Linked DNA regions of Oryzias latipes. The protein of the gene in region 1 purifies or fractionates together with the protein of each later gene. This does not show direct contact. Links are inferred from orthologs where the notes say so. Each region holds a gene or a part of one and is shown on either strand. Other genes may lie near its edges. The genes, in order: solute carrier family 12 member 6 and stk39.

What was found.
Region 2: the proteins of solute carrier family 12 member 6 (region 1) and stk39 purify together in Homo sapiens (affinity purification with mass spectrometry; 3 studies listed by BioGRID and IntAct, with this or other methods). This does not show direct contact. The link is inferred for Oryzias latipes from reciprocal best matches to the Homo sapiens genes SLC12A6 and STK39.

Annotation. Positions count from the first base shown.
Region 1 is NC_019876.2:21,363,863-21,367,689, forward strand, and holds part of solute carrier family 12 member 6, read left to right. Parts: intron 1-734; coding exon 735-961; intron 962-1,027; coding exon 1,028-1,155; intron 1,156-1,226; coding exon 1,227-1,412; intron 1,413-3,250; coding exon 3,251-3,415; intron 3,416-3,547; coding exon 3,548-3,646; intron 3,647-3,721; coding exon 3,722-3,779; intron 3,780-3,827.
Region 2 is NC_019879.2:21,553,332-21,557,158, reverse strand, and holds part of stk39 (STE20/SPS1-related proline-alanine-rich protein kinase), read left to right. Parts: intron 1-1,125; exon of another isoform or gene 1,126-1,286; 5' UTR 1,287-1,328; coding exon 1,329-1,434; intron 1,435-3,037; coding exon 3,038-3,150; intron 3,151-3,284; coding exon 3,285-3,393; intron 3,394-3,827. UniProt on the Homo sapiens protein: Effector serine/threonine-protein kinase component of the WNK-SPAK/OSR1 kinase cascade, which is involved in various processes, such as ion transport, response to hypertonic stress and blood pressure.

The DNA.
Region 1 (3,827 bases):
AGAAAAAAAAACTTCAGGTCCATAGTGTTCTAATTTAACACATCAAAAAACACGTTTCTATGCAATCCCCCCAAAAAAACTGACCACAAATGTCTTATCAATAACATAATATATGTTTGCATACATTATTCCACAGGTTAACGCAAAGCAAGACAGTAGAAAAGACATGCATGTTTTTTGTTTTCTTTATTCTGTTTGCTGAATTTGATCATTTTGAAGACTGTGATGCAGCAGAAAACAAAAGAGAGAAGACATAATAAGGAGGAGGAGATGAGACACCAACAATCGAAAAATAACAAGATTAAAGTACTAATAATTGATTTTTTATATTTATTTCTTTGGTATTAGCAGAATAATGCCCCTCGAGGAGTGCATTATCAGAAATAAATGGACTTTAAGGAAAAGCATGTCTTGCGCGATCAGGGCTCGCTTTGTCCTTTAATTTATGAAAACATACACCTTGTCAGAAATTATCCCTTACATAAAATTGATTAGTTATAAAATGAAAGTGAGATTGACACAATGGGAAAAAACAGGCTAATTTGTCTGCAATTAATTCATTGCGATTAACACAATAGTTTGACATTCCTGCAGGAGCAACTCTTTCATGCAGGAGAGTTATAGTGCTGGAGTCCTGAACAATCTATTGTTTTTCATCAGCGTTTGACCAACAGAAATCAGGTTTTCAATTTCCTCTCTCTGATCCAGTCTCAACTCTCTTTCTCCACTTCCAGTTGTACATTGTGCCTAAGGCGGCCGTCTTTCACGGCGACGGGGGAGCCATGCTGAACAACATGCGTTTGTACGGCAGCATCTGCCTCCTCCTCATGTCCCTGCTGGTCTTTGTGGGTGTCAAATATGTGAACAAGCTGGCGTCAGTCTTCCTGGCGTGCGTCATCATTTCCATCATCTCCATTTATGTTGGAGCGCTGGTCTCAGCCTTTAAGGAGCCACATTTCCCGTGAGTATTTCTAGGAAGACGTATGGATTCTCACAGCTTGACCTTACAGCTACTTTGTTTCTACAGAGTGTGCATGTTGGGGAACAGGACCATCAACGGCCACTATGTTGCAGACCACCACTGTGAGAAGATCATCTCAGAACTGCACAGAGAAGAAGTAGAGAGACCTGAAGGCAACTTTAGCCTCGGCTTCGGTGTGTTCAAGTCTCATTCTGTCAGGAACCACCAAAAAACCGTCCTCCTAAATGTTCTATCTCCCTGTCAGAAAACAGCACAGTGGAGCCGGCCTCGCCCCCCACCCGTGAACCTGCAGCCGAGAACCAGACCACAGATCTCTGGGGGCATTTCTGTCAAAGCCGGGATCTGAACGCAACCTGTGATGAGTACTTCACCAACAACCAATTCTCCCAGATTCAGGGCATCCCAGGGCTGGCAAGCGGGATAATTACAGGTATGGTGGGCTCTTAAGTTAATCTGTTAGCTAAAAGCAACAGTGGGGAAACAAAATTTAGAATTCCTATAGTTTATTTCACAGTAAGAATGTTTCGGTCCAATGAGACACAAATCGCTCCAATTTTTAGCAAATTTGTGAACAATTTCATTAAAGTTTTTTCTACAATTTACAAGTAGCCTGTGGGAGATTTGAAGTCATTGGTCACCTAGCTACATAACATTACCTTTAGTAGTTTTTGATAGACTCCCATCCGTTTCCAATGGGAATTCTTATTTTTTTATTTATATAAACCATAAGTTCAAAAGTAATAGCACTGTATTCCTAATGGCGCTTTACAAACCAAAGGTTTTGAAAGGATGTTGATGACTGCTTTTATGTAGAAGAAGCAGGACAAAGGATAACATCCTGACCAACTTCACCTCAGACTGAAGAAGTCAATTTGGACAAGAAACGAAACAGTTCAACAAGAAATTCAGTTGACGTGAGAAAACATCTGGACAAAAAAAGATCCTTCATCATTATAAACAATTATGCTTTTTTAAATAGTTGATATTTTCATCACATATTATAAATAATTGTTAAAAAAGATTCCTTCTTTCACAAATTGTTTGATTAAAAAGGAAACAGATCTAGTCTTTACTCATTATCTGTATATTAAAATCCTGACAAAATCAGAACTTGTCCTAAAATTTAAATTTTATTGAAATATTATTTCAACTTTCCATTTAAAATTCAATTTTATTCTGTTGTAAAATCAATTTTCATGAAAGTATGATTGAGGTGAACAAATGTCAAACTTGATTATTAAATAGAGAAATTAAAGGAAATGCTTGCTTTGGTGTAAAAAACATTCCTGAATTTAATTAAAACAAATCACTTTTTTTGTTGCATAAAAAAAGACAAATGTAAAAGTAAAAAGTCTGAAATAGGAAATATAGAAATTAAAAAATGAAAGAAACTACATTTATTTGGAGTAAACATCCATGAATCTGAACTGAGCATCATTTAGTTTTCATATCAGACCATTATTATTCTTTTAAAAGTGCTGTATTAATCATAAATGGATGTTTTATGAAGTGTTTTTACTAATCTGCGATCCAAGTTTGAAAATTAGATAATCGATCCATAAAAGTAGAGATCGATCTTTTGCGATGACCTAACGCAACTTTTGTGAGATTTTGTGAGATTTTGTGAGATTTCAAAGATCAAGCTTTGAAAAAATCATGGTGTAAAACTGCTAGAAAGGAGGTGGGTAATAAAGAGGAGGGGGGCGAGAACACAACCTTGAGGAACACCAGCGAAAATGAGTGAGGGTTGAGATTTAGAGGATTTCAGCTGAATTAACTAAAGTGCAGCTTCTTTGTTAGAGCGTCTCTGTTTGAGAAACCATGTAACACTGTATGATGGTAACAATGTCCTTGGTTTATTATTTCACTAATAACTTTTACAGTATGTGAACTGTAAACTCTGTAAATTCAAAATTGATTTGAATCAAATCAAGTGGATCAAAGGAATCGAAAGAATTGTGAATCGATTGATTCAGGCTCTCATGAATCAAAATCGAATGGATTCTGGGGATTATTGGTGACATCCAGCCCTACCCTTCACCCTGAGAAAACATGAAAATGTTCTGGTCTCAAAGGTTTAAGATGTTCTGAGCAGAGAAAAAAATTAAAGGATGAGATTGACATGTATAACATTTATTTGTATTTAATACATCTTTGATGTTTTGCACAATAAAGAAATAGTTAAGAAGATAGTTCTCCTTCTCTGTACCTGAGCGTGCTCAGAGATGTAGGGAAGTTTGCAGGTGATTATCCCGTCTGTCTTGGTAGAGAACCTGTGGAGCTCCTACCTCACCAAGGGAGCTGTGGTGGAGAAGAGCTCCCTGTCCTCCGTTCAGGCCTCTCATCCTGCTTCCATTCAGCTCCCGTATGTCTTCGTGGACATCACCACCTCCTTCACACTTCTAGTGGGAATCTTCTTCCCGTCTGTCACAGGTGCAGCCTTTACCTCTGGCCAAAGTGGCAAAAGAGACGTTTTGAATGTTTATTTTGACTAAATGAATTGGAGAAATTTCCATTGGTTTTCCTGTCAGAGGTGTTGGTTTTAAGAACTGCTCTTCTCCTAAGGAATCATGGCTGGCTCCAATCGCTCCGGGGATCTGAAGGATGCTCAGCGCTCAATTCCCATCGGAACCATCTTTGCCATCCTCACCACGTCCATCGTCTGTATCCTTGGATGAAGTTCTGATTGTTTTTTCTTGATTACGTTTGTCTTGGTTGTTTTCCTTAGTGCCAGTCCAGATTTGAGCAGCGTGGTTCTGTTCGGCGCCTGCATCGACGGCGTGGTCCTCAGAGACAAGTCAGTGCTGCTGGTCTCTTGCTGCTGCTACCCTCCTGCTCACAGTCT
Region 2 (3,827 bases), on another chromosome or scaffold:
TCCTTCCACTTTCTTTCAAGCAATCTTTAATTTTATGTTTAATTATCTTAACTTTGATACGTCATTGTATGAATGTATAACTGATGATTGTAATGTTTCTGTGTATTATCCCTATTTGATTGCTTGAAATAAACCATTTCAAATCAAATTTAAAAAATGACTGCACTAGTCATAAACTACATGTCACAGGCTGACTTTGAGCAAAATACTTACGAGGAAAATGCAACTAGTTAACTTATGCAAATATTTGACTGTCACTACACATCAACATCAACTTTACTACACTAGATCAACACTATCACACAAAAAATAAACAGATACAAAAATATTTATTACACAAAAATCAAAACTGGGATAGTCTTTTAAATCATTGACAGTCCTTCCACATGAGGCTCAGAACACACTTCATTTAGTGAGGGGTTTAGTAATAAAGAAACCTATTTAACATTAAAGACCCTCTTTGATAATTTTTGAGCTATTTTAAAAGCATTCCTTGTTTATTTTTTTTTTTAAAAAGACGTTTTTTTCCAGAAAGAAAACACTTCAGTTTTCTAGGACATAGTTTCTGCAGATCTGTAGTAATTCTTTAGAAATTTGTCTCTGACTTGTGGATGGGACCCTTTATGCAGAGCAACCCCGCCACCCTTCCCCTTCCACAAGCACTGAGCTTGTGGCCCGCCCAGTGTATTTTCTACGTCACAAATAAGCTCCCTTTCAAGTGGCAATTTTTTTTTCATCTGCTTCTGATTCACAACGATTTGAATAAAGTAATGTTCAGAAATGCAATTTGGAGCTTAATTCTCTTTAAATGTGTCCTCCATCATCAGAAAAATGCCACAGAACATGTTAAATCCCCCAAAACACGACTTTTATTGGGGTGGGTCTTTAAATGACTTGTCATAAAAGGAGCAGTGTATAGGATGAAATCATCCAGAGAGACAGAAGTTTCTGTATAAACATAATAAAATAAAATTTGTGATAATATAATCTGTTTTGTATTGACTTATTAGCTAACATGGCGTACTCAAGTGGTCTGTGTCTTCAAATCAAACGAACAGAGCGTGTAAATGGGGCCATTGTGTTAAGCGATAGTGACACATCGTTGAGTCAGCCGGCACGTGTCAGTGGGGGCGCGTGTGCGGCTGCGCGCGCGCACACGCGTGTTCCGTTATTTTCCGGGTTGAGCTCAGTGAGAGTCGGCGGCGGCCGTGGTGCACCTCCCTCGCTGACACCACCACCGAGGAGGTGAGGTCAAACCTGACTGTCTGTCTCTTCCCCCCGCACAGTCAGTCACGGAGGCTGCTAACTAGCGCAGCATCACGGGCATCATGGCGGACCAAGGCGAATCCCCGGTTCCCGTCCTCCAGCCGCAGCCGTCGGTGACAACCAGCTGGCCAATTACCAGAGAGGCGTACGAGCTGCAGGAAGTCATAGGTTAGTACGCGGGGAAGTCTGCTTCTGATCACAGCTAGGGGAAATGATGAGTCGTGAGCGGCGGAAAACGGCCTACCGGCATTTTTATCAGTAAAATGCCGCCTCTTCTGTCAACATGTCTGCGAACCGCATGCATTCAGAGGAACCGAAATGTCACGCGAACAAGTTCCTTCAACCGAACAGGCTGCTCCGTTACAGGAACGAGCACGCGCAGGGTTATTCAGTTAAAACACAATTACTGAGGCTTTCAGCTGCTGTTTGGTGCATCATCAAGTACTTTCTGTACTAATCCAAGAAAACTTATTATTTCTTCTAGTCAGAAATAACTGATGGAGTCTTTTAAAATTATTTTCCTCACAGGAAGTCCTAAAAGATATCTGTTCACGATTAATATACAATAATACAACCAAAACTTGTGTTCGAACTTTACATTTTATTTAAAAGATAACTACATGTTTTAATAAAAAATACTCACTAGCAGCATAACGATTAATCAACTTAATTGATTTATATTCCTGCGGTCCAACCAGATCGATTTGTCAGATCAAGTTTTTTGGAAAATTGTTTCAAAATGAACTAAATGGATATTGGAGAATACCATTTGGATTTGAGGCACAGAGGGTTATAAGGTAAAAACCACCAGAAAACGGTGAATTATGCAGACATGCGACCATACAGTGAGGTAGAATGTTCTAATAAACTTCAGTTTGGATTCATTTTTTGTGGAAAAACAACAGTGGGCTGAACTTTATGAATTTGCCATTAATTCTTGTTTACTTGTTTGTTTGTACACATATTTAATTTTGATTATCTTGCAAGAAACACAAGGAATCTGGAAAACTTCCCCTGCACTGTTCAGTATTTATCTCAGTCACACTGGTTGAATTTTTGTCCTGGTGCGATTTTAGGTCAGTGACTTGGATCAATCAAAATTAACCAAAACCGACCATGAATCATATCAAATTGTTGTTAAAATGACACCCATACTACTTTCGAATATGACATTGCTTTTTTATGTAATTACAGTATTTAGTGTTATTCCATAATAGCTACTGACACGTCTTTGTTTCTAATAATCACAGAGGAACAAGCACAGATTTGAGAACAAATGATCATGAATGTTCACTCACACAAAGGTGATAAACTGTTTTTCCTTGTGGCATTGACTTCCACTGATTTGCAAACAATAGCAAACAATCTACCAGATCAGTGGAAAGCTTTTCTTTCATCAGGTTTTTTACTGTACGTCGAAAAGCATACATGAATGCAGAGTTCTAGTGTGCAGTTTTTGTTTGAAAAATAAAAACGTATTATATATTTGGTCAATATTCACTTCATATGTGTCAATGAGTCACTACTAATAGGAAATAGTGCTGCTGCTGTGAGCAGGTACCCCCACAACTGCCAAGCAGAAATAAAAAAAAAAAACAAATCAGTGATGTACTCCAGGACATGTCTAAGGTTTCAGCTGCTACACAGACAACAACAAAAGCACAGACTTAAACATGAAAGCCGAGGCAGTGGTGCAGACACGAACATGATCTTCCAGCTGTGCGATGTGAGTCCCTCTTGGCTCACCGCTCGGCTGTGGCTGTGATTTCAGGCAGCGGAGCCACAGCTGTGGTGCAGGCAGCCCTCTGCACCCCCAGACAGGAGCGCGTGGCCATAAAGAGGATCAACCTTGAAAAATGCCAGACCAGCATGGATGAACTGTTGGTGAGTAAAACACACATCTCTTTCATTATTATTTTGCTTATTTTTCTAGTCTTTAAATCCAGTCTCACATCCAGAAAATAACACCAAAGTTTTGATCCTTTGCATAATAAATAAAATCTTTTTTCTGCTGACAGAAAGAAATTCAAGCAATGAGCCAGTGCCACCATCCAAACATTGTTACCTACTACACTTCCTTTGTGGTGAAGGATGAACTCTGGCTGGTCATGACGCTTCTGAGTGGAGGTAAGCTTGTTCTAGCTGTGTGAATAACACTTTCACTGTGATAGATTTCAAAATCACAAATTGATCAGCAGCAAAAATAGAGTCACTGCTTTCATCCTGCCTTGCTTATCGTAATTTCAGTCTTTCATAGAGGGAAATTTAAGCTTTTTTAATCTTCAAATAAAAAAAAAAACATTTTTTTTTTCAATTTGTCACAAATCCAACTTAAAATTACTACAGATTCTGAAAAGAAAAAGTTCAGGATTGTTTTTTTAAACAGCATCTGCTCCTGCTTTATAACAATACAGAAATATTCAGAAATTTAATTTGGAGTTTAATTTTATGTATGTCCTCCACCATGAGAAAAAAATGCCACAACATGTAAAAAACACCCAAAACCAAATTTTCATCAGTGTGTTTTTAAAACATAAAAAATAAGCGAATCATTGAGCAGT